Elephas maximus indicus: one gene and its partners. The protein of the gene in region 1 purifies or fractionates together with the protein of each later gene. This does not show direct contact. Links are inferred from orthologs where the notes say so. Each region holds a gene or a part of one and is shown in the gene's direction. Other genes may lie near its edges.

Evidence for each region.
Region 2: the proteins of CDC5L (region 1) and SNW1 purify together in Homo sapiens (affinity purification with mass spectrometry; 5 studies listed by BioGRID and IntAct, with this or other methods). This does not show direct contact. The link is inferred for Elephas maximus indicus from reciprocal best matches to the Homo sapiens genes CDC5L and SNW1.
Region 3: the proteins of CDC5L (region 1) and SRSF1 purify together in Homo sapiens (affinity purification with mass spectrometry; 4 studies listed by BioGRID and IntAct, with this or other methods). This does not show direct contact. The link is inferred for Elephas maximus indicus from reciprocal best matches to the Homo sapiens genes CDC5L and SRSF1.
Region 4: the proteins of CDC5L (region 1) and ILF2 purify together in Homo sapiens (affinity purification with mass spectrometry; 4 studies listed by BioGRID and IntAct, with this or other methods). This does not show direct contact. The link is inferred for Elephas maximus indicus from reciprocal best matches to the Homo sapiens genes CDC5L and ILF2.

Annotation. Positions count from the first base shown.
Region 1 is NC_064819.1:108,943,909-108,950,782, forward strand, and holds the start of CDC5L (cell division cycle 5-like protein), read left to right. Parts: upstream 1-3,859; 5' UTR 3,860-4,097; coding exon 4,098-4,142; intron 4,143-6,703; coding exon 6,704-6,807; intron 6,808-6,874.
Region 2 is NC_064828.1:90,536,247-90,543,697, reverse strand, and holds the start of SNW1 (SNW domain-containing protein 1), read left to right. Parts: upstream 1-4,442; 5' UTR 4,443-4,502; coding exon 4,503-4,516; intron 4,517-7,451. UniProt on the Homo sapiens protein: Involved in pre-mRNA splicing as component of the spliceosome. As a component of the minor spliceosome, involved in the splicing of U12-type introns in pre-mRNAs.
Region 3 is NC_064837.1:36,040,922-36,048,593, forward strand, and holds the start of SRSF1 (serine/arginine-rich splicing factor 1), read left to right. Parts: upstream 1-4,671; 5' UTR 4,672-4,808; coding exon 4,809-5,002; intron 5,003-5,385; coding exon 5,386-5,570; intron 5,571-5,895; coding exon 5,896-6,068; intron 6,069-6,270; coding exon 6,271-6,465; 3' UTR 6,466-7,672. UniProt on the Homo sapiens protein: Plays a role in preventing exon skipping, ensuring the accuracy of splicing and regulating alternative splicing.
Region 4 is NC_064821.1:191,504,748-191,512,061, reverse strand, and holds the start of ILF2 (interleukin enhancer-binding factor 2), read left to right. Parts: upstream 1-4,296; 5' UTR 4,297-4,398; coding exon 4,399-4,403; intron 4,404-5,052; coding exon 5,053-5,112; intron 5,113-5,632; coding exon 5,633-5,675; intron 5,676-6,128; coding exon 6,129-6,233; exon of another isoform or gene 6,234-6,266; intron 6,267-6,775; coding exon 6,776-6,853; exon of another isoform or gene 6,854-7,102; intron 7,103-7,198; coding exon 7,199-7,301; intron 7,302-7,314. UniProt on the Homo sapiens protein: Chromatin-interacting protein that forms a stable heterodimer with interleukin enhancer-binding factor 3/ILF3 and plays a role in several biological processes including transcription, innate immunity or cell growth.

The DNA of each region.
Region 1 (6,874 bases):
AACATAACCGTAATACGAACGCCAAGTTCAGGGAATTTAACATGGCACAGTGGTTAAAAGCTTGGTTGCTAACCAAAGGTCATCAGTTTGAATCCACCAGCTGCTCCTTGGAAACCCTATGGGGCAGTTCAACCCTGTCCCATAGAGTCCCTGTGGTTCAGAATTGACTTGATGGCAACGGGTTAATATTGATACAATCCTATTATCTAATACATAGTGCTCATTCAAATTTTATCAATTGTCCTAGTCATTTCCATATGGCAGTTTTTTTTTTTTTTTTTTACTGATCCAGTATTTAATCTAGCCATCATGGTATTGCATCCAGTTGTCATGTCTTTAGTCTCCTTTAATCTGGAACGGTTCCTCAGCTTTTCTTTGTTTTCCATGAAATTAACATTTTTGAAGCATTCAGGTAATTTCTTTGGGTTTGTCTCTCTGATGTTTCCTCATGATTAGGTCCAGGTCATCCATTTTCAGCGGGAATATCACAGACATGATGACTGTCCTCAGTGCATCACGTTGTTTTCTTATTTGTTCTAGAATTGCTAGTCAGAGAGCATGGGTAGATATTTGTTCCCCTTCTGGTTTTAAAAGTCAGAAAAATCATTAAGAAGGAGTGAAGAACACACACATCCAAGTCAGAGTAAAACACATCTGTAAAGCATTGTTAAGGAGTCTCTGTGTGGTGCAAACAGTTCAGTGCTTGTAGCTGAAACGTTGGTGCTTCCAACACACCCAGAGGCTACTGTTCTTATTTAAATTTTTTTTTTTTTAGCATCGTTACTGGTTATAAACATAGGTACCAGGTCAAAAGTTTAGCCCAGAGGAGACAGACCATCTGGACGAGAAAGCAGTGAAGTGATAGGCTAAGGGTATCATGGTGACAGGAATCCAGGCCAAGCTTACGCTGGATGAGGATGAAGCTTTCTTTGGTTAATCAATTTGTCAATCACCATGATGTTTATTAGTACCTAGTATGCGTTCAGAAGCCCTAGCTTGCCTGCTAACCGAAAGGTCTGCAGTTCGAATCCACCAGCTGCTCCTGGGAAACCCTCAGAGGGCCACTATGAGTTAAGAATCGACTCGACAGCAACAGGTTTGGTTTGGTTCAGTATGTGTTCAGTACCATATGTGAATTGGTAGATGGGTAGAAGACATAAGGTATCGACTGAGGCCCTAATATGTGCCAGGCACTTTATTAGCTTTTGTAAACAATATAGGTATAACTCTAATGAGTGGTAGATAATTCCAGTGGGAAACAGATATTAACCAATTAATTAGACAAATAATTACAGTTGTGGTAAGTGCTCTGAATAAGCACTTGAAGAAATACTAGGTTATGAGAATGAAAGGTGAATATGACCTACTCAGGGAAGGTTTCTTCCTGAAAGTGACAATTTGAGATTTGAGAGATAAGTAGGCATTAATTAGTGAACGTAGGGGTGTATCAGTTACTAACAGTTTGGCTGCAAGTAACAGAAAACTCATGTAAATGGTTCAAATAAGACAGAGATTCCTCACCTGTCTTAGTTATCTAGTGCTGCTATAACAGAAATAGCACAAGTGGGTGGTGTTAACAAAAAAATTAATTTTATCACAGTTTAGGAGGCAAGTTCCAAATTCAGAACGCTGGCTCTAAGGGAAGGCTTTCTCTCTCTCTCAGTTCTGGAAGATCCTTGTCTCTTTGGCTTCTGCTTCCTGGTTCCTGGAGGTCTCCATGTGTCTTGGCATCTATCTTCATTTCTCCTGTGTTCCCTTGTTTAATCTCCCTCATATCTCAAAAGAGACTGACTCAAAATACACCCTACACAAATCCTGCCTCATTAACGTAAGAAAGACAACCCATTCCCAAATGGGATTATACCCACAGGCATAGAGGTTAGGATTTACAACACATTTTAGGGGAACATAATTCAATCCGTAACACAACCCCGATAACAGAAATCCACAGGGTAGTAGTTCAGGACTGGTGGGACAGCTACACAGTTGATTATCAGAACCCATCTCTTTCCATCTTTTTGCTCCCTCATCTTAGCACTTAGCTTCCATCCTCAAGGTCACCTCATAATCCAAAATAGCTCCTAGTGTTCTCACCATTACATATACACTTCAGGCATACAGAAGAAGCAAAGGGAGAAAGAAAAGGGTGAGCACCAGCTATCTGTCAATTCCTTTAAGAAGCTCTCCCTTCTATCTAACTGATTACACTTAACTTTAAGGTTGAGAAATGTAGCTTTTTATTTTATTTTTTTATATTCTTAATGACATTTTACCTGATTTAGAAAACAGTGCTTGTATAAAAATTCATACAGAGTTTCTAGAAAGCATTCAATTACCAAAAAAATATCTGGGCTCCTATAATATTCAGGAGCCCTGGTGGCATAGTGGTTAAGAGCTTGGCTGGTAACCAAAAGGTTGGCAGTTGGAATCCACCAGCCACCCCTTGGAAACCCCATGGGACAGTTCTACTCTCTCCTAGCCGGTGGCTAGGAGTTGGAGTCAACTTGAAGGCAATGGGTTTTTTTTTTTTTTTAAATAATATTCAGTTTTCTAAGGATGCCCTCGAATCAATGGTAAAATGTAGATTTTATGTGAGATTTCATTATTTTTGGTAAAGCTATTCTCATTTTATTGATATCCTTTTGGTGTTTAATACCCACTTGGTACAAGTCAGGAAAACATGAAGGCTGGCTCTATATCAAGTATTAATACTATTGTCGTATAGCTTCAGTATCATCTGTCTGCACAGCTAAGGAGGGTGAGAGACTCCCATTAGTCAGGCAAGAGGCAAACATCTGGAGAAAGAGGTGAGAAATAAGCCAACCATATACAGTGAGGCTGTGACACGGTCAGACTAACAACTCTCAGCATTTCAGTAGCCAATCTCCTTCAGGACCAAGGAAACCCCACTGGTTGGCTAATGAGTGCACATATTATCAGGAAGGACCAGTCCATGGAGTAGGGAATCATGCTTGGTAAAATACAGAGACACTGAAAAAGAGGGAGACCTCCTACATACGGATCGACACAAAGGCTGCAACAATGGACTCAAACAGCGACGATTGTGAGGATGACACAGGACTGGGCAGTGTTTCCTTCTGTTGTACACAGGGTTGCTATGAGTCAGAACTGACTCAAAGGCACCTAAGAAGAACATGTATCACAGGTCCCTGGGTGATACAAATGGTTTGTAGCCCTGGCGGTCTGGTGGTTAAGAGCTACAGCTGCTAAACACCGCCCCCCCCCCTCAAAAAGACAGCAGTTCCACTATTCACTGAGTCCGAACCCACTCCACCGCAATGCTTTTTTTTTTTCTTTACTAACCTAAAGGTTGGTGTTTTGCACACCCAGCCGGGCGATCTGCTGCCATAAAGCCTAGAAAACCCTGCAGAGCAGTTCCACTCTATAACATATGGGGTTCCATGAGTTGGCATCATCTTGACAGCAATGGTTTGTGGTTTGTTTCTTTTTTATGCACCAGATATTGTGCTAGGTTTATGTACACGATCTCATTTAGACCTTAGGACAACCCTACGAGGTTGGTACCATTATTACCTCTATTTTATAGATTAGGAAACAGACAAATAGCCTATTGCCTGAGCCTTCTCTGAATAAATTCCTGTTAATTAAACGCCCGATAAAGCGCTAAACTAACAAAATAACAAAGCTCTTTTCTGACCACCTGGGCTGAATTCTTCACGCGTGACATCCCCATCTCCTGCCACTCGGTGACGTCACAACCAACCTCACCACTTATGTTTCCTGCCAAACGCCACACCGCTACTATCTCGCGAGAGTCGCAGTTTCCGCCAACAGGTCCTGAACTCGCGTGCGGCGTAGAGCGCTTTGGCTAGAGAGGTTTGACGATTTCCCCAGGCTAGAGTTTCAACAATGCACTGCTTTCCTTGCAGCCACTCGAGATCTCGCGAGACTTTCTATTCCTGTCCTCCCCACCCCCAGGTTGCGACTGCGCAGATCGCCTCAAAGCAGAAGGTCGCGGTTGGAGGAAGTGGCGGCTTTAGGTCCCGTGGCCCCAGCGCCGTTAGTACTTCTCTGAAGCTCACCTCGGCCGTTTGCCGAGACAGCCCGCCACCAAGATGCCTCGAATTATGATCAAGGGGGGCGTGTGGAGGAATACTGAGGTGAGTCTCCTTTTCCCGCCGTCCGCTGCCCTCCGCCCCCTCCGGCGGCTTTTGCGCACGCGCGCGGGCGTCGGGGCGGTCAGGAAGATGCCCTGCGCGGTCTGCGTCTTCTCTGGGTGCCCCAGCGCTTGCTTTTTGAGCTCCTGAAGGACAGGGACCGTGATTAACCCGACTGAATACCCAGCCCGAGTTCACTGCCAGGCACTTGTTAGGTCCTCACTGAACATTTGCTGAATTTGGAGGCTGCTCCCCGCTCTGGTGGAACTCAGTGTGGAGGGGGAGAATGGGGCATCGGCGAGAGTTGGTTTTTCGGAGCACCTCCTTCTCGGCCTGGGCACCCGCGCCTCTCTCCAGTGCTCAAAAAGAGGAAAATAAAGAAGTGTTGTGGCCACAACTTTGTTTCTTTATTGACTCCCTGGCAGAGAGGAAGCAGCTTGAGTGGCAGGTTCAAGGATCCCGTTTATACCCGTATCCTTCTGGTTATCTGTTATCAAGGCATAACCTGCCTCTTCTCCCGACAGATGCCAAGATCCATCTCGTCCTATCTTCCTGGCACTCCGACTCAGCCTGGATAATAGATAGGACAGACTGTGTGTAGCAGTTTCTGCTTCCAGAACTGTAGTGGATTATGCCATTGGCGAGCCAAAGGACAGTAGAGGAGTGAAACAGAAATAATACTTTAGTGCAATTTGTATTCAGAGCGCTCTGAGTTTATCTCTTTTCGGAGCACATTTTACATTCTGTACCCTCTGCTTCAAATGTCCTCCTACTGCTTGGCACCTTGAGCATTCAGACCTCAACCCAGAAACTTGTTGTAGTCTTTGCCCACTTACCAGAATTAATTGCATCCTCAGTGGTCTCACTGTACTTCTTTAATTAATTTGTTAGCTTGCTTTGTCGTTTTTTAAGGATCATGTCATTTCTTTGTGCTGCTGGGAGAGTTTCTTAACCTCTGAGTCCCACTCTCCTCATTTCTTTAAATAGGAGTGATAATAATATATACGGAGCTCTGGTGGTGCAGTGGGCTCGGGCTCAACGGCGGTTTGAACCCACCAAGTGGCTCCTCAGGAGAAACACCTAGTGATCTGCTCCTGTAAAGATTATAGCCTAGAAAACCCTATGGTGCAGTTCAGCTCTGTCACATGGGGTCACTAAAAACCCCAAAACCCAGTGCTGTCGAGTCGAATCTGACTCATAGCGACCTTATGGGGTTACTATGAATTCAAAATCCACTTGATAAACCAAACAACAGTACCTAGCTCTTTAGGATTAAATAAGTTAATACATTTGGAAAATTTAGAACAGAGTCTGGCAGATAGCACTGCAAGAGGACAAGGACTAGGTCTTAGTGTTCCTTGGATCTAGGCCAATAACCAACATGAAGTAGGTAGCTTGGCAAATGTTTGGTGAGCGAAACTAGGGGGGTAAAAGCGGTTGCCGTGGAGTTGATTCAGAGGCATGGCAACCCCTTGTGTGGTACATAACTGCTATATATATAGTTAGTTGAAGATGTGTTTAAGTACAGCAGTACTGTAACAAAGTTCCAAATGAAGTCAGTGAAAAGCCTGCCTGACAGCTTGCACTGAGGGAACCAGGCTATTTAAAGTGGAGAAGAGATGACTTCTGGAGGAGAGACATACGTACAAAATCAAGTAACAACAGGCTTCCTATACAGTGCTCAAAGCCCTGCAGTCTTTTTTATGTCTGATGATGAAGAGGGGGCACAGTGCGGTGGCTCAAGCAGAAGGCATGTAGCTCAGGTTGAATGTGGAAAAAGTCCTAAAAGTAAAATGACCCAAATGCATTCATTCATGACTGCATTGTCCCTGGATTCTCTGGCTCAGCTTGCCAGGTGGCTCAGCATAGGGACCCTGTGGAAATAGTATCTAAGAGACTGGGGGAGGTTGGAGAGAGAGCTTACTGGTGGGGTAGGGGAGAAATATGTACTTCTTAGGTTAGATCTGGGACATGGATTCTTGAGTCATGGTGAGAGTTAAGGACTGGAGAGTAAATGTCATGGATTAGCAGGAGTCAGGAGGCCTGGACTGAAGAATGGATTCACTCGAGTCTTGATTTGCTTCTTGAGCGCTGGGAGGTCTATTTAATTCTTTTTCCCCATGTATATAGGACCTAGTACAAGGTTAAGTGTTCAGGAAATGTTTTTTGAGCTAACGAATACATGAATGAGCTATACCCTTTTGAAGAGAATAATGGTTACACATTGGAAGATACTTTTAACCTACCAAGTATGGTTTTTTGGATTGGACTGTTCCCACTCCCAGTTTATGGGGATGGGAGAATGTGCATGTGAGGGAAGGTGGGATGTTCTTCTGATGACCTTCTTAATTTCTTGGATTTTGCAGATTCTGGCTTGCTGTTTATCATTATAGTAAATAAGATGTTAGGACCTCTTTTTTTTAAACCTAGGATTTGTAGGTGTGCATGTATGTATCCTTTTCCTTGAAATTTTTCAGCAGCCCTGACAGTTAATTTAAATTTTGTCTTTTCTCATTTGGACTTTAGTGATTGAATGTATTATATTTCTTTGACAATTCTTTTAGGATGAAATTCTGAAAGCAGCAGTAATGAAATATGGGAAAAACCAGTGGTCTAGAATTGCCTCGCTGCTGCATAGAAAATCAGCAAAACAGTGCAAAGCCAGATGGTATGTACCAGTTAATGAATAGAAAACAAAACGACCTTAATTATGATGAGGGAAAATGTCAGTTCTT
Region 2 (7,451 bases), on another chromosome or scaffold:
TCCAGAGGCACTTAGCTTTCTCTCTCTGTGGGCCTGGAAGCCCACTGCAGTCTCCTGCCACCACTTTGCACCATCTTCAAGGTCACAGCTTGCTCTCTCTCGGTCTTCTGGTTCCAGGAGCTTCTCAGAGCAGGAATTCCAGGTCCAAAAGATGAGCTCTTGGCTCCTGGCTGTTCTTCCTTAGTGGTGGTAGGATCTTCTCTTTACCATCTCTGGGGTGGCTCATTTCAAGCCAAGTGGGATGGCTAGCCTGACAAATTCCCTTTAAAAACAAAAAACCTTTGCTGTGGAGTCAATTCCTATTCATAGTGACCCTATACTACAGAGTAGAACTGCCCCAGGGGTTTCCAAGGCCAGCCTGGTAGATTCGAACTACCATCCTTTTTGGTTAGCAGCCATAGCTCTTAACCACTACGCCACCAGGGTTTCCACCAATCCCCTTCGTTTCCACCAATCCCACCCTACCACACAGTCTCACCCAATCACTTGGGTGGGAGTTACAAGACCATGGCTAGAAAGGCCACACAAAAGCAAGCTATGGCAGTGCACCCCCACTGACAGCCAACAAGGAAGCAAGGACCTCCAACCTACAACTGCAAGGAACTGAGTTATGCAATCAACAAGAAGGAGCTTGGAGATGGATCTTCTCTAGAACGTCGGACAAGAACTCAGTCTGGCCGACGTCTTGATTTCAGCCTTGTAATACCCTGATCAGAGAACCCAGTCACCATGTGCAAGCCGTCTAATCTACAGAACTGTGAGCTAATAAATGGATGTTGTTTTAAACCGCTAAGTTTGTGTTAATTTGTTACGTAGCATAGAAAACTAGTATGTCATTTGTCCCTCTACTCTTCTTAAAAATACTGATCTTCTGTAACCTTTCCTATGGCTCTAGGAACCCAAAGAGTGCCATGAAACAGTGCCAAAGAGAAAATGCTGCTGATGCTGAATGAGGCTAAGGAGACTTTTCTAACAGCAGGATAGTAAGAGCTAGACCAGGCATTGTTAAATTTTTATTTTTTTAATTATCATATAGTAAAACTCATTTTTTTTGGCATACAGTTCTATGAATTTCAACTCATGTATAGATTCATAGGAAGCCCTGGGTAGATGTCTTAGTTATCTAGTGCTGCTGTAACAGACATACCACAAATGGATGGCTTTAATAAAGAGAAATTTATTCTCTCACAGCCTAGGAGGCAAGAAGACCAGATTCAGGGCCCAGCTTCTGGAAAAGGCTTTCTCTGTATGTGGTCTCTGGGGGACGGTCCTTGTCATTAATTGTTCCCTGGCCTAGGAGTTTCTCAGCACAGGGACCCTGGGTCCAAAGGACATGCTCTGCCCTGGTGCCTTTTTCTTGGTGGCCTGGGGTCTCTCTTTCTCTCTGCTTGCTGCTCTCTCCTTTTATCTTTTCTAAGATAAAAGGTGATGTGGGCCACACCCCCAGGGAAACTCCCCTTACATCAGGGCTGTGACCTGAGTAAGGGTATTACATCCTACCCTAATCCTCTGTAACTTAACCTAATCTCACCTCATTAACCACAGGCAGAGATTAGAGTTTACAACACATAGGACAATTACATCAGATCACAAAACAGAAGACAACACCACAATATGGGGAATGACAGCCTAGACAATTTGACACATATTTTGAGGGGACACAGTTCAATCCATGACGACAGTTTGTGCTTGACTACTAACCTAAAGGTTGGTAGTTCAAATCCACTCAGTGGTACCATAGAAGAAAGGCGTGGTGATCTCCTTCCATAAAAATTACAGCCAAGAAAACCCTACGGAGCAGTTCTGCTCTGCTGTAATACATGGTATTGCCATGAGTCAGAATCAACTCAATGGCAATGGGTTTGGTTTTTTTGGTTTTACAGGTTCCGTAACCTCCACCACAATCAGGATACAGAACCGTTCTGTCAACTAAAAAAAAAAAAAAAAACTCCCTTGTAATAATCACGCCTACCGCCTACTCTTAATTCCTTGCAACCACGGATTTGTTCTCTGTCACTAGTTTTGTCATTTCAAAAATGACATAAATCTAAAAAATGTCTGCCTTGAGCCTTATGCTCTTTTAAGAACTATCTACAAGGGATCAAATTGACAACAGCAACTTGAAAGATTAGATGGGAATCTTAGGGGATAGTGAATTTATGTTAATAAGGGAGGGACAACTTGGAAATGGAGAGTGATAATGGTTGCACAACTCAATGTAATCGAAGTCACTAAATGGTACATGTAGAAACTTGAATTGGTGTATGTTTTGCTGTGTATATTCTCAACAACAAAATAAATAAAAATTTTAAATAAAAAAAAAATAAGTCCTAAAAATTCCTAATTCCTTCCCCCCCAACACAAAATGTCATAAATGGAATCGTACAATAAGAAACCTTTTGAGACTGGCTTTTTTCACTCAGTGAAAGTGATGCCTTTGAAATTCATCCGAGTTGTTGAATGTATCAATAGTTCATGGAATGGGAAAATTTTAAACCTCTTTAGAAGTTTTAAAAACTAAGGAAATAAAGTATCTAGAATCATATTGACACCAGAAGGATCTCTGGTATTATTTGAGCCCACCCTATCTTTTGCACTGGAATCGACTCAATGGCAACCGGTTTGGTGTTTTGGTTTGGTTTTTTGGTTTGGTTTATCCTTTTACAGCTGAGGAAACCAAAATCCAGTGAGGGGTGAAGGCTTGCCCAAGACTGCTCAGGCTCAATGATAGAGATACAATGGTGACAAAGAGAGATTTAATCTTCCTCTCAGTCAGGTAAACCATCAAAATCTATAGAATGTGATCTTTGTTAAAAATAGGTGAAACACAAGTACTATCAGAGCACAGAGAAAACACATTAGTAAATTCCCTTCAATTGCAAATGACAGAGAACCAACTCCAGATCTGGGGCAGAAAATGTACAAGATGCTCTTATCACACTAGAACGTGAAGATCAAAGACTATGAGGATTCTTGGGAGGAAGGGTGAGTGTAAAGGATGAGGGAAGCTTCTTGGGCTGTTCACACTGCTGTGGTTTGGGAAAATCTAAAGGCCTGTACACATACAATGTATGCACTTTTCTGTATGCGTGCAGAAAATTTCAAACGTATATAAAAGTAGAGAGAATAATATCACAAACATCCACTTTCCCATCACTCAGCTTCAACAATGATCAAAATTCATGGCTAATCTTGTTTCATCTATGCTCCACACTCTTTCCTCCTCCCAATATTTTGAAGCAGATTTCGTTTATACTATTATTTCACTATGAATCCATAAACTATGTGTACCTAAAAAACATACCTACATATATACTACGTATATCAGGAGTTTTCAAAAGGTAATTTACTGAAGATCACAAAATGCCTTTCCCAGGAGAGGGTTTTGTGAAGGGGATAGCATTTAAAGGAAAAAGTTTTGAACGTCAATGTTTTCAGAACGTCCGAGAACTCTCCATTCGCTAATCTCTGACTATCCTATTGTTTCAAACCCTGTTACCTTTTATTTAACGTGGTTATCACCTGAAGGTTTTTGTATTTGGGACAGTAGGGGAGGACCCTGGTGGTGTAGTGGTTAAGTGCTATGGCTGCTAACTATAAAGGTTGGCAGTTTGAATCCACCAGGCGCTCCTTGGAAACTTTAAGGGGCAGTTCTACTCTGTCGTATAGCATCGCTATGAGTCTGAATAGACTGCATGGCAACGGGCTTTTCTTTTTCTTTTTAATCTAGGGGAACAGGAGTCCTGGCGGAGCGGTGGTTAAGCGCTGGGCTACTAACCAAAAAGTCAGAGGTTGGAAGCCACCAGCTGCTCCTCTGCAGAAAGATGTGGCTATCTGCTTCTGTATAGATTCCCAAACCACACCCATTGCCTTTCAGTCCATTCCGACTGACAGCGGCCCTATAGGACAGAGTAGAACTGCTCCATAGGGTTTCCAAAGCTCTAATCTTTACAGAAGCCAACTGCCACATCTTTCTCCCTCTGAGCGGCTGGCGGGTTCGAACTGCCGAACTTTCGGTTAGCAGCCAAGCGCCCATCTTCCAATTAGCAGCCGAGAGCTTAACCACTGCGCCACCAGGGCTCCTTCCCAGCCTAGGAAACCCCATGGGGCAGATCTGCTCTGTCCTATAGGTCGCTGCGAGTCAGAGTCAATTCCATGGCAACGTGTTACACGACGGTGATGGGACTGAGTGGGGGAAAAAGTGGCTAAAAAGGTAGCTTTCTCTAACTTTGTTACTTCGCTTAGCGAACGCCCTATGATATCATAGAGTACAGATAAGTCTTTACTCTTCCTAATGAGATCATCTAAGGAGGACCGCTTAGGCTGGTTAGAAGAGACCCGAAATAGAGACCCGAACTGTACTCCCTATCAAATAACTACTAAGCCCAGAAGGCCTTTCGGCAGGTGCGGCTGCGCACTGCGCGCTCCTTCCTTCCCCGCCCCTTCGCCAGGGAAGGTCCGCCCCGCGCTGCTGTCGCTCGGGCTGGAAGAAGCGGAAGAAGATGGCGCTCACCAGGTGGGTTGTTGATTCGAGCCCTCGATACGGAAGGGTCTGAGACGACCCATCTTTTTCATTTCTCTGTCCACGCTCTCCGGGCGGGGACCCGGCTTTGGGAAGAGAGCGACTTAGACCAAGGCCGTGGCTAGGCCCTCCCGCCAGCCGCCGCGGCGACTAGGCCTCGCCTGAGGGTGGGTTTTCCCGAGCGTCTGCTCGGGTTGGGGTCGCCCCCTCCCCGAGGCCGGAGCCGTGGAGTGGCCAATAGTTCTCCGGCCCAGATGCGAGGAGTCGCACGTGTGTTTCGCTTCAGCATCGCGGGGGACGTGGAGACCGCTACCTCAAGTCGGCGGCTTGGGTAGAAGAGAGGGGAGTGTGGGCAGTTGCTTGCTTGTCTCGGCGGAGCGAAGCCGGCGGGAAGCGACTACGCGGACTTCTGTCCGCTTGCTGCCGAGGGCTTTCTGTCCATTCCGTTTCCCGAAACAAGGTCTCCTAAGAAAGAGGCCTGGAAGTGGATAAAGATTTTGAACTAGCCTCAGCAGTGGCCGCTGTTTACTAATATGCGCCGCTGCGCCCGGCTTTAACTTTGGACCTTAGAATTTCTTCCCTAGATAGAACCGCTTCCGATTTTTTGCTGTTCGCGGTTGCCTTGGTAACCATATGTAAAGGGTCCCCGCCTTTGAGAAAAAGATGCTCTAAGTGGGAGATCCCAAGAAGTTACATAACCCTTACTAGTGCGCGACCATGCTGCCCCATTTAAGTAGAAAAACTTTGCCATGCGAATTCAACAGGAAAGTCGAGTGTCAAAGAGGATTGTAATTTTGGACCTTAGAATTTCTTAGAATTTTTGGTCCTTAGAAGTAATCCTTTTAGGATATCGACTTGAGCTCTCTTAACACACCTTATTCTCCTCAGATATTTTTCCTGGCAGATGACAATTATGAATCCGAAACATGTTTTATTCAGAAGATTCTTTTGGGAACTGCTATAGGGTCGCTATGAGTCGGAATCGACTTGAGCGCAGTGGGTTTGGTTTGGTTGGTTTTGTTTTTTTTTGTTGTTGTTTTTTAAATGGGGTGCCCTGACTCATCCTAGGAGTTGTGGTGTATGCAGAAGGAAATCTGACTGTCTGACTTCAGAGACAATGGGGAGCAATGCATACAAATATGAACGATTGAAGAGCAACACAAACCATAAGAGTGAAAAGAGTTAGATGGAATGAGCTTTATGGACTGGAGAGTTTTCTTTAGTAAATGTTACAGGCAGTTAAGTGCCTTCTAGGTGCAAGGCACTGTGATAGAGGCTAGTAGAGCTATGAGGGAAAGATTTGTTTGGGGAAAAGGTGGAATTGGAAATGGATGCACAGGAAAAATACCAGAGATGTCATGGGTATTGTGTGCTTGTTGACACAATGTAATGTTTAAATGGCTGGTCTTGGGGACTACATGGCTTTCTGATTTTGTTGAATTGTTGTTGCCTGCTATTGAGTCTATTCCAACTTATAGTGACCCCATGTGACATAGAACTGTCCAGTAGGATTTCCCAGGCTGTAGTCTTTATGGGAGCAGATCACCAGGTTTTTTCTCCTAGGGAGCCACTGGTGGGTTCAAACCGCCCACTTTTTGTTTAGCAGCCCAGTGCTTAACCACTGCGCCACTAGGGCTCCTTTTTGTTGAATTAGTCCTAGCTAACTTGATTTTTACAGATAGTCTCAAGTTTATAGGTGAGGTGTTAATTTATATTAACTCCAAGATCTACCAGGGAATGTTAACAGCAAGGTCTTGACATACTGATGTGTCAGTCTTGATGTCACCAGTGATATGTTACTAATACTAAAGGTTTAAAGTCTAACTGATTTAATTTTCTATATTTGAGTGTATTCGAAGTTATGGGTATATTAACATTACTTGCATTTAATATACTTTCTTTAGTAAAGGGAAAAGGGTAAACTTGGATTTCTCAATAGTGGCACTATTGGCATTTGGGTCTGAATAATTCATTGTTGTTTGGGACCCCTGTGCATGGTGGGATGTCTAGCAGCATCCTTGGCCCCTATGTACCAGATATCAGTGGCACCCCCTCTCACTAAATCTTGACAATCAAAAATGTCTCTAGACATTGCCAGATACCCCAGGGGGGCAAAATTGCCACTAGTTGAGATCTGGTAGACTTACTGCTGTACATATAATTAGCAGTCTATTTTATCTATGCTATCTGAAGGTTCTTTAGAGCCGTGGTGGTGCAGTGGTTAAGCATTTGACTGCTAAAAGGTCAGCAGTTAAATCCACAAGCGGCTCTTTGGAAACCAGATGGAGGAGTTCTGCTCTGTCCCGTGGGGTTACTGTGAGTCGGAATTGACTCCTAGGCAGTGGGTTTGGGTTTTTTGTTTTGTTTTGTTTTTTCATCTGAAGACCAGCCTCTCATCTCCCCATGGGAGTGTTCGACTTTATGCAAAGGCCTTCCTTTTCAGGGAAGAACAAAGTGAAGACCCTCTGGAAGGCTAGAGTATATTCTGACCATAATTCAGGCTCTGTTACCTGTTTACTGGATTGCCAAAGCCCTTTGCTTCTCTGGCAGGCTGCCTGCCTTTTGATCATTTCTGTGAATGCTTCTTCCAAGAGAAGGTAAAGAAAAGTGAAAAGAAATGAAACAGAAGTACATAATTTTGGTGTCTTTGTAGCTCTTTATCATTGTATATTACTTACATATGGTTTACTGAAAATGACTTTGGAAGAAGCCTAAGACTTTTGACTCCATTTGTTTATTTATTCATTCATATACTTAGTAAATATTTCTTGAAGTTCTACCATGTGCTAGGCACCATTCTAATGTTGGTTTTATAGTATTGAATCAAGTAAACTCATTCTTACAGGCCTTACATTCTAGTAAGGGACTCAGACTGTATATGAGTAAACAAATCAATAGTGCAATTTAAGTAAAATAAAGACAGATAAAG
Region 3 (7,672 bases), on another chromosome or scaffold:
TCTGAGAACTAAAACTAGTAAAAAACATAATAAATTAACTGATTGTGAGAAAGTAATCCATAAGACTGCCTGTGATCAGTAATTGAAGAGTTTAGAAATGTCTCAAATCCAATTAACAGAAGGATGTACTCTCACGAGGCAAAACTGAAGAGGTTGTAATTTGGTCAGCAGAATCCTTTTCAATTGTCTAGTACAGTATTTAGAGAACGCTTGTGTGAAGTTAGCCTATAAAAATAAAATTGCCAATCTTTACCCAGCACTGTCCAGGGAACAGAGATACAAAATTCAGGGGAAATGGATTTCCTCGTCTTTGAAGAGGTATACTTACTCTGTTGTGGGTGGAGCCCTGGTGGTACAGTGGTTAAAGCGCTCAACTGCTAATGAAAGCATTGTCGGTTTGAACGTATCAGCCAACCCTCAGGAGAAACACGTGGCGGTCTGCTTCTGTAAAGACTTAGAGCCTTGGAAACCCTATGGGGCAGTTCTACTCTGTCCCGTAGGGTTGCTATGAGTTGGAATGGACTCGATGGTAAAGGGTTTTTTTAAATCTGTAGTGGGGCAGGGATCATTTATTAGGTCTCATCATCCATGAATGATTTAGGATGACTCATCTCACTTTGTTCTGGTTCCTCATTTACTAAAGCAACTGTCCGATTTGCCTTCCAGACATGCCAAACCAGTTGTACATTGTTGGCACGTACAATATCAGCATCCGGGTCATGAAAAATAAATATGCCTTACCCCCCAACAAATGAATAAATACCAAAAAACCAAACACGTTGCCATCGAGTTGATTCCAACTCATAGCAACCCTACAGGGCAAAGTAGAACTTTCCCACAGGGTTTGGGTTTCCAAGGCTATAATCTTTACAAAAGCAGACTGCCACAACTTTCTCCCTCGGAGCAGCTAGTGGGATCAAACTGCCAACTTTTCAGTTAGCAGCCTAGTGCTTAACCACTGGGCCACCAGAGTTCCTAAATGAATAAATAGTTTGGTTTATTTGCATTATTGTATGTTGACGCTTGTAGACTGAAATATCTTAATCAACTCCAGGACATGATAACATTAAGATCACCTCCTTAATTGCAGCAATCATCAAGTTAATGTTATCCTAAGAGACCTCTTCCTACCATGCCCTAAGCCCATCACCTACAATTTGGTTAAATTAAAATATAAAAAAGAGGCTAATAGATAAACAACAATACTCTATTCACATCTATTAAGCTTTATCTTGTATTCCTCTGAACCAAACAAAATCAGAAATAATTTCATTAAATTGGACAAACGAGAATAAACCAAAACAAATGCACGGTTTTCTAATTTTTTCGGCATGAAAATGTCTTGAAATTAAAAGCACCCGTACCTATTTACTCTGTATGCTGAGCAAATAATCTGAGAAGCTGAACTATATGAAGAAGAATGGGACATCAGGATCGGAGGAGGACTCATTAACAACCTGCGTTGTGCAGACGATACAACCTTGCTTGCTGAAAGTGAAGAGGACTTGAAGCACTTACTGATGAAGATCAAAGACCACAGCTTTCAGTATGGATTACACCTCAACATAAAACAAAAATCACAACTGGATCAATAAACCACATCATGATAAACGGAGAAAAGACTGAAGTTGTCAAGGCTTTCATTTTACTTGCATCCACAATCAACACCCATGGAAGCAGTAGTCATGAAATCAAAAGATGCGTTGCAGTGGGTAAATCTGCTGCAAAGGACCTCTTTAAAGTGCTGAAATCAAAATTGTCACCTTGAAAATTAAGGTGCGCCTGACCCAAGCCATGGTATTTTCAATCACATCATATGCATGTGAAAGCTGGACAATGAATGAGGAAGACTGACAATTGACACCTTTGAATTATGCTGTTGGCAAAGAATATTGAATATACCATGGACTGCCAAAAGAAGGAACAAATCTGTCTTGGAAGAAGTACAACCAGAACGTTCCTTAGAAGCAAGGATGGTGAGACCGCGTCTTACATACTTTGGACATGTTGTCAGGAAGGATTAATCCCCGGAGGACATCACGCTTGGTCAAGTAGAGAGTCAGCGAAAAAGAGGAGGGCCCTCAACAAGATGGATTGACAGTGGCTGCAACAATGGGCTCAAGCATAACAAGGGTTGTAAGGATGGCGCAGGACCGGGCAGTGTTTCATTCTGTGATACAAACGGTCGCTATGAGTCAGATCCAACTCGATGGGATGGTACCTAACAACAACAACATGAGGGTTCATTCCCTGGAGGATATCATGCTTGGTAAAGTACAGGGTCAATGAAAAAGAGGAAGACCCTCAATGAGATGGACTGACACGGTGGCTACAACAATGGGCTCAAACATAACAACAACTGTGAGGATGGCACAGGACCATGCAGTGTTTTGTTCTGTTGTACACAGGGTTGCTATGAGTTGGAAATGACTCAACAGCACCTAACAACAACATGTTTAAATCACTTCAATTACCACTGATTTAGCACGAATCAAGACAGGCCTGAGTAATTGTACACCAATAGATAAAAATTGGAACAGAAAGAAAAGTGTGCTTAGCAAATAACTGTTAAAAGAACTAATGAGTACATGATAATGCCAAAGAATTTTTTAAAACCCTCTTCTGCTATTAACTGAATGGAAGAGTGCTAGAAACTGAATACATCTGTTGAAATGCTATCTTTTTTAATCAGCCTCTTCTATTAAAAAAAAAAATCAGATTCTTTTTTATTAAAACCTCAGTTTCAAAAAATATTGTTGAAGGACAGCCTGAAGGATAGACAATCTATCCTTTCCTCTAAAATTTTCAGAGGTTCCTTCCCTTTTTTATATCTACAGACCCCTTTAAGAATGTGATTAAAATTTCAAATCCTCTTACTTTTTTTTTTTTTTCCCCCTGAAAAAAGTACATGCACAGCACAAAGAGTCCAAGGACTACTACAGGTCCTCCATGCATCTGCTGAGGATCTACAGACCCAAAGTAAGCATTCCTGCTCACAATATTTCAAACTAAATTTATATTTTCAGATCACTAAGAGCTACGGCTGCTAACCAAAAGGACAGCAGTTCAAGTTCACCAGGCGCTCCCTGGAAACTCTATGAGGTAGTTCTATTCTGTCCTATAGGGTCGCTATGAGTCAGAATGGACTGGATGGCAACAGGTTTGGTTTTTGGTTTAGATAGACATTTGAACTAAGAAAACATGCCCTTCTCCTGTACAATTAATCTATTTTTATATCAAGGCACTTTGGGTTTTGAAAATACTTGTCTACCCTTCTTTACTGCGGCCTCTAGGAAGACCAGAGTGAAATCTGCAGTCTATCTGCAGGCTCTTACTGCAGACATTTTGTGTACTAACCTTATCCGGGACTTCAACTTAATCCCCTAACCCCTTATTTTCCCATTCCCCTGATTTCTTCATCCAGTTTTAATGTTTTATGGTATCCCTGTAAGCTGCCTTGCATCCTTGGGGAGAAGGGCTGTTGTAAATAAATACATAATATGAAGAAAATCATCCTTAAACTTAAGAGTGCAGATCTCTTTTAGCATATTTATCACTGCAGGGCTTTTTATATTTGAACTTATTTCCAACATTTTAAATAAGCCCAACATCTCACATAAAAATTCAGATTTCAGGCGTCTCTAGAAAAATGTAAAAAATTATCTCCCTGAACCAACACTCGAGGAGGATCACAGTCCCAACAACTGTGGTCTCCAATGGGAATGAGTTTAAAATCTTGCATATAATTAATAGGGGAAACTTTTGAAAACAAGATTAACTTCAGGATTTTACAAATACTACTTCTTTCTAGTTCTTTGAAAGGAGGAAAAATGACAAGCACAATCCATTTTTGAAGTATTCATGAGCCTCGCCTCTCCTCTCCGCTAGGCCTAGCAATAGGCCATCAATGAGAGGCGGTGCGGTCGGTGGTTGACACCCTTCCTGGTTGGCAAGTGCCGCCCCTGACTGATCAGGGTACGACCTACACATACCGCCGGTAACAGTTGGCGTGCTGAATCGAGCTATTCAAAGTTAAGTTCTGAGCCGAAGATGGAACGGTACTTAATGCAGAATACTTACTAAGGAACCTGAAATGCACTCCCCTAAATCAGACAGGTGTCTAAACAGCCCATGGCTTATTTGCAAGCAGCGGGGTGGGAAGGCAAGGCTACGCCCTGGCGCTCTATTAACTCCCCAGCGTCGCAATTCCTGGACTAGGCGCACTCTTGCCCGTTTCCGGAGCAACTGGCCGATCCCTCCCCCTTTGACTCCGCCCCCGGGAGTCTTTCCCGCCAAAGGCCGTTAACTTCGCGGAGCATTATGGGACAAGGCTCTAGGCTAGGTTTCACCAAATTCTAGCAAGGCGCCGAAATGCTCCAAAAGAGGCTCATTCCTGGAGACCCTGACTATCCTCGACGACCTGACAGGCATCAATAGCCCCTTTAACGAGTGCTCTGTATTTAATTTTTATCACACAACTTATCACCCCGTTGGCAAACTGCTCCGCAGCTGGGGAGCGCGGGGAACTTTTTTCTCTTCGTGCGGAAGGTCACGTCGCGGGTGCGTATGCGTCCTTTCAAATGCGTCCGTTACGCACTTGCGCGTGCGTATTGAGATCGAATAGCTGCTTCCATCCGCTTCTCTTCCTCCCTCCCCCCCATATCCGTGCGCCGAGCAGATAAAGGCGCCATTTTGGAGGGGCCGCGGGAGACGTGGTGTCGCTGCGGGCTCGCTCTGTCGTGCGCTAAGCTTGGTGGGAAGGCCTGTTCTCGAGTCCGCGCTTTTCGTCGCCGCTTTTCGTCGCCGCCATGTCGGGAGGTGGTGTGATTCGTGGCCCAGCAGGGAACAACGATTGCCGCATCTACGTGGGTAACTTACCTCCAGACATCCGAACCAAGGACATTGAGGACGTGTTCTACAAATACGGCGCTATCCGCGACATCGACCTCAAGAATCGTCGCGGGGGACCGCCCTTCGCCTTCGTTGAGTTCGAGGACCCGCGGTGAGGCGGCATGGGGCTTGCAGTCTTTACGAAATAGGTTGGAATAGTTAGGGGAGGCTCTTTTGAGAGGAGAAAGGCGCTATTGCCCATGCAGGAGTTGAGTAAGGGGTCGAGTCGGCGTAGTTTCTCCGGTGGCTGGGCCCCGTGGATATCTGCGGAGCCGACTCGCAGGCTTGGAGCGGGAAACTGAGGCGCCGGGGGCTGTTGTAGTTGTCGGGAGCCTGGCGTGCTTCTGGGTGGGGGAGGGGCCGTTCCTATTATGTAGCGCATGTGGGCTCTTTGGCCTTCGGTGCGCATGTGCGGGGGGCCGCTACGTCCCGACTGAGTTAGGCTTCCCCTTCCTATTCCTTCTCTCATGCCTTTTGCCTCCTGTGATCACGCAGAGACGCGGAAGATGCGGTGTACGGTCGCGATGGCTATGATTACGACGGTTACCGTCTGCGGGTGGAGTTTCCTCGAAGCGGCCGTGGCACTGGCCGCGGCGGCGGCGGGGGTGGAGGCGGTGGAGCTCCCCGAGGCCGCTATGGCCCACCGTCCAGGCGGTCTGAGAACAGAGTGGTTGTCTCTGGTAAGCTTACTGCTTTTGTGGGTTCATGAAAAAAGGGGCAAGAGCTGCTTTAAAGTTTTCCATGCATGACTGGTTTGACAACTGAAAATTTCATATCAGATCCTTTATTAGTTTTTTGGGTGAGTTTAGTAAGCGTGTATAACTACTAGAAATTCAGCAAAATAGATTGCAGCACTAGAGTAGGAAGATGCGTATTCTTTGCAAATCAGTTCGGATTCTGGATTCTAGAGTCTTTCAAGTACGTTCACTAAGTATTTGTTCTGGTGTACGCTATAAATTTAACGTGAAATTTGGGATAGTATTGAAAAAATAAATCACTTTTCAGGACTGCCTCCAAGTGGAAGCTGGCAAGATTTGAAGGATCACATGCGTGAAGCAGGTGATGTATGTTATGCTGATGTTTACCGAGATGGCACTGGTGTCGTGGAGTTTGTACGGAAAGAAGATATGACCTATGCTGTTCGAAAACTGGATAACACTAAGTTTAGATCCCATGAGGTAGGTTATACACTTAATTCTTTTCTTTGGCCAGAATTGGATACAGTGGTCTTAAACAGTGGAATTTGAAGGTAAGGATTCAGGCAAGGGTGTCCAAGTAAAGTACCAGATTTCTGGTATTAGTTACATTGTATTCATTCAGCATGCCTGAAGACAGGTGAAAACTTAGATGTTTCAATCGAAAGTTCTGTCTATCCAATAGGGAGAAACTGCCTACATCCGGGTTAAAGTTGATGGGCCCAGAAGTCCAAGTTACGGAAGATCTCGATCTCGAAGCCGTAGTCGTAGCAGGAGCCGTAGCAGAAGCAACAGCAGGAGTCGCAGTTATTCCCCAAGGAGAAGCAGAGGATCACCACGCTATTCTCCCCGTCATAGCAGATCTCGCTCTCGTACATAAGATGATTGGTGACACTTTTTGTAGAACCTATGTTGTATACAGTTTTCCTTTACTCAGTACAATCTTTTCATTTTTTAATTCAAAATGTTTTGTTCAGAATGGGCTGAAAAGTGTTGAATTGCATTCTTGTGTAATATCCCCTTGCTCCTAACATCTACATTCCCCTCATGTCTTTGGTAAATTGTATTTTAAGTGATGTCATAGACAGGATTGTTTAAATTTAGTTAACTTTCCATGCTCTTCAGACTGTGATATTGTGTAAATGTCTATTCTGCTCTGGTTTGTGTGAACTGGGATGTTGGGGGTGTTTGTGGTTACCTTACCTGGGGAAGTTCTTATGTTTATCTTGCCTTTTCATGTGTCTTTCTGTAGACATATCTGAAGAGATGGATTAAGAATGCTTTGGATTAAGGATTGTGGAGCACATTTCAATCATTTTAGGATTGTCAAAAGGAGGATTGAGGAGGATCAGATCAATAATGGAGGCAATGGTATGACTCCAAGTGCTATTGTCACAGATGAAATTGGCAGTATTGACCTTATACTAAAAGACAAGGATTAAAAATGATTATATACATCAACCTTAAAACAGTTGCAAACATTTTATGCAGTTACCTTTAGCTACAATTGCTTTGCTCTTTATATTTGGCAATTGTGGCAAAATTACATTGCCCATTTTGTAACAAATTTATTTTGCTCCTTTCCCCCTTTTTTTGTTTTAATAGGGACTAATGTGGGAAGAACTGGCTAATTTGTCATAGTGCTTAGTTACAACTGTTAATGTGTGACCTGCTGTTGGTGTACATGTGGGTACAGGGTGTCTTTAATTCCAACCAGATAGAGTATAATATCAATACTGCTAAATTTGCATGTCCTCTGTGTGACTGATATAGCGTTGCTATTTCATTTTTTTTTTTTTTTTAAGACAAAATGAAAGCAAAATATAGAATTCCAGCATATTGGTGTAGATAATCTAGATGGGAATACTTTGTCTCACCTTTCCCTTTAAACTAATATTCATAATTGATTCGTGTTAAAACACTTTAATTTACAAATTGCAGACGAGAGCATTATTTAGTTTAGACTTAGGTGGGTTTAGCAATACCAGTAAACTTTTCAACTACATAACTCTTTTTGCAACCACAAAACCTGTAATACGCTGTACAGTAACAAGTGTTGGCATTATCAGTTGAACTGTAAATATAAA
Region 4 (7,314 bases), on another chromosome or scaffold:
CGGTCCTGCAGCCCCCATAATCAATCAACTGGAACAAATTACTCCTCAGCTCCTTTGGATGAGCCTAGTTCATCCAAGTTCCTACCCTGCTTCACTCATTCACATCACCTGCCTAGTCATGGTAGGAGTTGTTTTCAGACTGACCTAGCACGTAAGGTGTTTGCACACGGGAATGACTGAGGAGGAGAAGCTGCTGCTAAGGGCAGACCCTGAAAGCTTTTGTGTGACTGTGTTAGTTATCTAGTGCTGCTATAACAGAAATACCACAAGTGAATGTCTTTAACAAAGAGAATTTATTCTCTTACAGTCCGCTAGGCTAGAAGTCCGAATTCAGGGCGCAGCTCCAGGGGAAGATTCTCTCTGTTGGCTCTGAAGGAAGGTCCTTGTGATGCATCAATCTTCCCTTGGTCTGGGAGCACCCCAGTGCAGAAACGGCAGGTCCAAAGGACGCACTCTGCTCCTGGCGCTGCTTTCTTGGTGGTATGAGGTTCCCCTGTCTCTCTGCTTGCTTCTCTCTTTTATATTTCAAAGACATTGGCTTAAACACTATCTAATCTTGTATATCTCATCAATATAACTGCCACTAATCCATCTCATTCCATCATAGTGATAGGACTTGCAACACATAGGGAAATCACATAAAATGGTGGACAATCACACAATACTGGGACTCATGGCCCAGCCAGGCTGACAGACATTTTTGGGGGACACAACTCAATCCATGACAGTGATAGACTAAGGATTGCTTAATGTCTGTATCCTGTAAGGGGGGCTCCAGAGGCAGTGGAGGTAGATAGGAGATGTTTCAAAAGTAGAATCAATTAGATTTTTGGGAAGGGAAGACAGTTTACAAATAACTGAGGCTGGGTGGGGATGAAAACAATTTTAGTCTGTTGAGTTTGAGAAGACTGTGGATACCCAAATGGAGGTGTCTCATTAGCTACTAGGTTAGTGGAGCTGGAGTCAGAAGAAATGACTGGACTAGATATACAGTTTAGCCCTGAGTTGTTATGCAAATGATGCACGTATTATGTTTTTGCCAACGGAGCAACCCCCTTGCACGTTATTTTCCTAGGCAGTATGTGCGTTATATGTGTGGATACGTTATTTAGGTGTGCAGGTTATTTGCGAAAAATATGGTTATTGAGCTCCTCTTTCAATATCGCTGGACTAAATAACTGAGCTGGAGACAACTACAAGTGCTGAAAGAAATATTTTTTCAAAAATCAAAGAACTAATAAGATAGTGAGGAATTGTTGGTCTGAGAGATGAAAGGACAAGAAAACAAAGAGCTGAGCCCAGCTGTAGGGCTGTTTTTGCCCTGGGTTCATTTGCTGATCCAGAACTGGTGGCAGAAAATAGGCTGGCGGGCTGTTGTTTTTCTTAGCTGCTTTTCAGTGGATTTGACTCATGGCGATCCCATCTACAATGGAATAGGAGGTTGCCCGGTCCTACACCATCTTCACGATCCTTGGCATTCTGGAGTCCATTGTTGCAGTCACTGTGTATTCTGAGTGCCTTCCAACCTAGGGGGCTCATCTTCCAGCACTATATTGGAAACTATTCTGTTGTGATCCAGGAGATTTTTACCGGCTAATTTTCAGAAGTAGATTGCTAGGCCTTCCTTTCCAGTCTGTCTTGGCCTGGAAGCTCCACTGAAACCTGACCACCATGGGTGACCCTGCTGGTATTTGAAATACTCGTGACATAGCTTCCAGCATCACAGCAACATGCAAGTCACCACAATATGACAAAGTGACAGACAGGTGGTAAGGCTAGTGAGACAAAAATTGGAATGCAAATATCCCCAAAGGTGAGGACTCTGGTAAACTACCTTCCTGTTTTAGGTTAGGACCGACCCCGAAAGGCTGGACTCCTAGGGGAAATTTAGGAGAAGAGTTAACCTGAAGTAAATAGATTACTTTTGTGGGAATGGGACAGTGCTGTATTTCCAATAGTATGGTTCTTTGATTTGACATTAAAAGCTATATAATGATTCTTATTTCATGAAAGATGAGCTTTTATTAAAAAAAAAAAGTAAGTAGAAAATCCAGAACCAAAATATTCAAAAGCCAAAATTAAGGATCAATCGATACATTTAACAGCAGGTTAGACTTGATTGAGGATCAATTAGTGAATTGGAAGAAAGGACAGAAGAAACTACCCAGAATAAAGCATGGAAAACAAACGAACAAACAAAAAAGAAAAGGAAAACATGAAAGAGACATAGAGGATACTGTGAGAAAGGCCAACACACCTTTACTTGGAATTTCAGGAAGGAGAGAAATAATAGAGTAGAAGCAATATTTGGAGAGAGGTGGCTGAGAAGTTTAAAAATGCATGAAAGGCGTCAAGCCATGGATTCTTGAAGCTCAACAAACCTCAAACAAGGTTAAGAAAAAGAAAATCCATACCTGGACCCAGCAGAATAAAACTGTAGAAAACTAAATCAAAGAAAAAATATTTAAAAAAGAAAAAAAAAAGGATAGATTACTTTCAAAGGAGCAGCAATTAGACTGACAAGTGTTTTTTCTACAGCAAAAAATGGAAGCCATAAGACAGTAGAATAATATTGTAAAGGTGCTGCAAGAAAATAACTTTCAAGCTTGAATTCCATACCCAGAGAAAATATCCTTCAGTAACAACGGTGAAATAAAAATATATTCAGACAAACCAAAACCAAGAGAGTCAGCCACCAGTAGGGAAGCACTGAATTCTAAAGGGTATTCTTCAGGCGGAAGGAGTATTACCCCAGATGGAAGGTTGGAGATGCAGGAAGGTATAAAGAGCATTAAAATGGCACACATATGGGCTCCTCTAAATGACCATTAATTTAATAAATAAGTATTAAAGTCTTCTGAGACTTAAAATATAGAATTTAAATACTGTACATATACACACCTACACCTACCCGAGATTAATGAATGTATAGGACCCCAAGAAATCTTTTACAAAAATGTTCATAGCAGCTTTACATATATGACCTCAAATGGAAACAACCCAAAAGTGTTTGCATGTCTCAGCCTGTTTTCGGTCCTGACATCATCAACAGGAGAATGGATAAACAAATGGTGATATATTTACACAAGGGAATGCTATTCAGAAATAAAAAAGAATAAATTGTTGATCAATGCAAATCTGTGCGAGCATCTCAAAACGAGTTGAGCGAAAGAAGCCAGGCATAAAAGAGTACATACAGTATAAGTCCACTTATATGAAGTTCAAGGACCGACAAAAACTAATCCATAATAATAGAGATCAGAATAGTGATTGCCTCTAGGGGCAGGGCAAAGGGGTGTGAAGTGATTTTCGGAGGTCATGGAAATGTTCTTTGTTTTAACCTGGGTGGTGGTTACATGGGCATAATACATTACTCAACATTAAGAAGTAGAAAAAAATGTATGTAATTTTCAATTGATGGGGGAGGGAGGGACGGAATAATAAACGTTACTCTATGAATGCAAAAGAAGGCAAGAAAGGGGAGAAAAGGGATTACAGGTGAGACAACAGAGAGCACATAGTAATACGATGGATTTAAATGCAAATACAGTAAATCCGTACATGTTGTTGACGAAACCTGGTTGAAGGATGAAATATTCCAGAGAATTTGTAAAGTGAGGCGAGAACTGGAGCGAAGCTGGAGAATAGGGATGGTTCGCTACTTTTCTCCTTGCCGCTTCCCAGGGTCCCATCATCTGAGTCATCTCTCCAAGACGTGCTTCTGTTTTCTTTGTAATCCCTCACCATTCAGGGTTTTTCCTCTCTGAAATTAGCTTCTCTTGTCTCAAGTTTCTAGCTTTCTGCACTGCTGCCTGAAATAGCTAAAATCCCCATCTCACTTGCTAGTGTTAAACACAGCTTCCGAATGCCGCATTTTTGAGGCAGGAGAAATTAGAAACATGAAGCTCACATCTACTAAAGAAATTGAAATAACGCAAATTCTTCTTGCTGGGGCAATCAAAAAGCTTCCGGATAGCAGAGGATGGTTTCGATCCATCGACCTCTGGGTTATGGGCCCAGCACGCTTCCGCTGCGCCACTCTGCTACCTGGTAAGGCTGTGTCACAAAACTCATATAGAAAGTTTTCAATGTACTGGGGGGGGGGGGGGGGGGGGGTGTCTGATTTGTTGCACAGCGCCATCTAGCGTCTGTTCAAAAATTGTAGCCTTTGCTGTTAAACCTGCTCTTATTGGCTGATTCCTGACACACCATGCTTTTTTTTTAATTGGTTCTCCGGTTTGCCAGGATAAACCAATAGGCGTAAGCGATGGGGTAAGGCGGGAGCCAATCGCGCCGGGTTTTGTTGGGACACGCCGGCAAGCGGCCTCCACAGTTGTTGGCTCCTCGGGAGGGAAGAGGCGGTTTGTGTGGCCTCCATTGTTCGGGATTTAGGGCGCCATGAGGTAAGGGGGCCAGGGTGCCCTAGGAATGTTTTCAGTATTTGACTGGAATTTTGGGGAAGTCGGAGGAGCTGAAGAGGCCGCATATCGGAGGGCTAGCCTACGACCTGATAACTCCTGTCCTGGAAGACGGGGAGGGGTCGGAGGCCGGTCGGGTCGGGAAACTGGGGCCTGGGAATGGGGTGGGTCCTGGAAGTGGGGAGGCGGGTTTGACACCTTCGTCCTTTAGGGGCTTAGGTAACGGGGGTGTGCTCAGGTCCCGGGAGGAGTACCCCCCATTGAGACTGAGCAGGCTGGAACGTGTCGCATTCATCCTCAATGCCAAGTGCTTGATAGAGTATATGCGCCTATGTTATTGATAGTCCCAGAAGTATTAGGATTGGCGTGTCCTAGGGATTATGGTGTGTTTCTCGTAGGGCCTCGGTATCTGGGCCCCGTCATTACCTGGCGTATGGGTTGTGATTATCCAGAATGAGGAGGTCCTAGGGGAGGGGCTGGGGGAGAAGTGTAAATGATTGGGATGGGGGTCGCTTGACTTCCCAAGGGAGGTTTAGAGCGATGGAGGCAGGCTAGCTTGAAATGATGTGGCTGGTAGAGTGGAGATGCTTTCATTGAAGTCAAGAGAAAATAAAATCCTCTTATGCATTTCTAGGGGTGACAGAGGCCGTGGTCGGGGTGGGCGCTTTGGCTCCAGAGGTGGTCCAGGAGGAGGGTGAGTGCCAGTTTTTAACATCTTTGCACTGGTTGGTTCCTGTTTGAAACACCTAAATAAGAGTAAATGGTCCGCTTTTGTGAGGTCCATCTATGGTTTAGCAATACATGCTGTCCTGTTAAATGATGAGTTTGACCCCACTTTCCTAACAAGGATACCCCCCAGCAGACTCTCACTGATTCGGAGGACAGACATGTTTTCAAAATTCCTCATACATTATAACCACGATATATGATCATATTTACCAGTTGTCAGTGGTTGGGTGAAAGGTTGGGGTGCAGTATGCAATTATAATTTTGAGTGATCATTTTTTTCTCTCAAAGTTTTATATGTTTAGGAGGCTCAGTGACCTCTGGAATGCTAAAAGATGTACGTACCTCTTGATTTCAGCATGTAAGAGGTGCTAGAAAACCAAATTTTTGGAAGGAAACATAAAAACATTGTTTTGGCTTGTGCCAGAAATCTCATTTGATTTGATTTCTATGTTGTGAATAATTTAGACTATTTTTTTTTGTTTTAGGTTCAGGCCCTTTGTGCCTCATATCCCATTTGATTTCTATTTGGTGAGTACTACTTTGGGTTAATATGAGTTTCTTGGCCACAGTTTATCTGTAGATGTAGAGATGGAGCCCAACATCTCCCTGTAATGAAGTCAAATGGTGGGTAGAGTAGGAAAAGGGGTCTGTGAATGGGTATGGGGTTTTGTAGATTGCTTCACATAAACTGTCAGCAGGGTGAAGAGAGAATTCTTTGGCTACTGTTGTCAGTAATATGATTATAATCTTTATTTTGGATAATTAATTGTATTCCTGGCTTATCTGTTAATAATAAGGTAGTTTAAGCTTAAATTATGGCTGTTGCTTACAGATTGTATCCGTGTATTAACATCTTCAGGAATAAAACCAAGTGCCGAATTTTCTATTTTCATTTTTTCTGTTGTAGCAGCAGAAATAAGTCTTTCCTGTATATCATTTTTGGTAAATAGAACATGTAATAGTTGTTTATTTCTGGTTCAGTGTGAAATGGCCTTCCCCCGGGTCAAGCCAGCACCTGATGAAACATCCTTCAGTGAGGCCTTGCTGAAGAGGAATCAGGACCTTGCTCCCAATTCTGCTGAACAGGTATGTTCTCTTGGCTTCCCTTCTGAGATTTCCCTGAGAAGGTTAGAAAAGTAGATATGGGTGAGTTTAAAAATAATTTTATCAAAGCCTAAACCCTGCAGAAGGTTTAATTATTCTCATTTCTCATATGAGTGGAAACAGCCAGGTGAATACATGAACAGATTATATATGCAGTCAGATTTTTATTGGGGGAATCTATGGGATCAAAATTTGTTCTGGCATATTGAAGGCCAGCAGGGTCAAATTGTTTTTAAAGCCCTTATGTTGGTACTGGAACCCTGGTGGTGAAGTGGTTAAGAGCTTGGTTACTAACCAAAAGGTTGGCAGTTCAAATCCACCAGATGCTCCTTGGAAATTCTATGGGGCAGGTCTGCCTTGTCCTATAGGGTCGCTATGAGTTGGAATCACTTCATCAGCAATGGGATTTTTTTTAATGTTCGTACCGACTCAGCTTGTATAGAAGGGATTAGAGAAAAATACTCAAACCTTGAGAAACTGTAATTTTTCACTTTAGGTTATTTTTGTTTCATGCTGTTTTTCAGGCTTCTATCCTTTCTCTGGTGACAAAAATAAACAATGTGATTGACAATTTGATCGTGGCCCCAGGGACATTTGAAGTGGTGAGTTTTTGTTGATTTAGTTCTAGGAAAGGGCGGGCTTAGTACCATGGATGTTTCCTTGGCTCCTGTCTGAATTCTTCAGTTGCCTTTTATCCAAATCCCAGCCTAAAGTGGAAGAGTACAGTGGCATTCCTTTGTAGTACTGATCTTGGAAATGAGACACATACCATCGTTATCAGTTATCCATGATTTAGCAGGCTCTCATGTGGTTGTTTTGGGGATATGATTTGATCTCTGCTGCATCCAGATCTGGGTAATAAAGAAGCTTGTTGTAATAGAGCTCCAAAAAGAACAAGGCAGACTTTTTTCTTCTAAATTTTTCTTCCGCAATCCCTTTTCCAACAGCAAATTGAAGAAGTCCGACAGGTAGGATCATATAAAAAGGGAACAATGACCACAGGACACAATGTGGCTGACCTGGTGGTAATCCTAAAGATTCTGCCAACATGTGAGTGCATCTC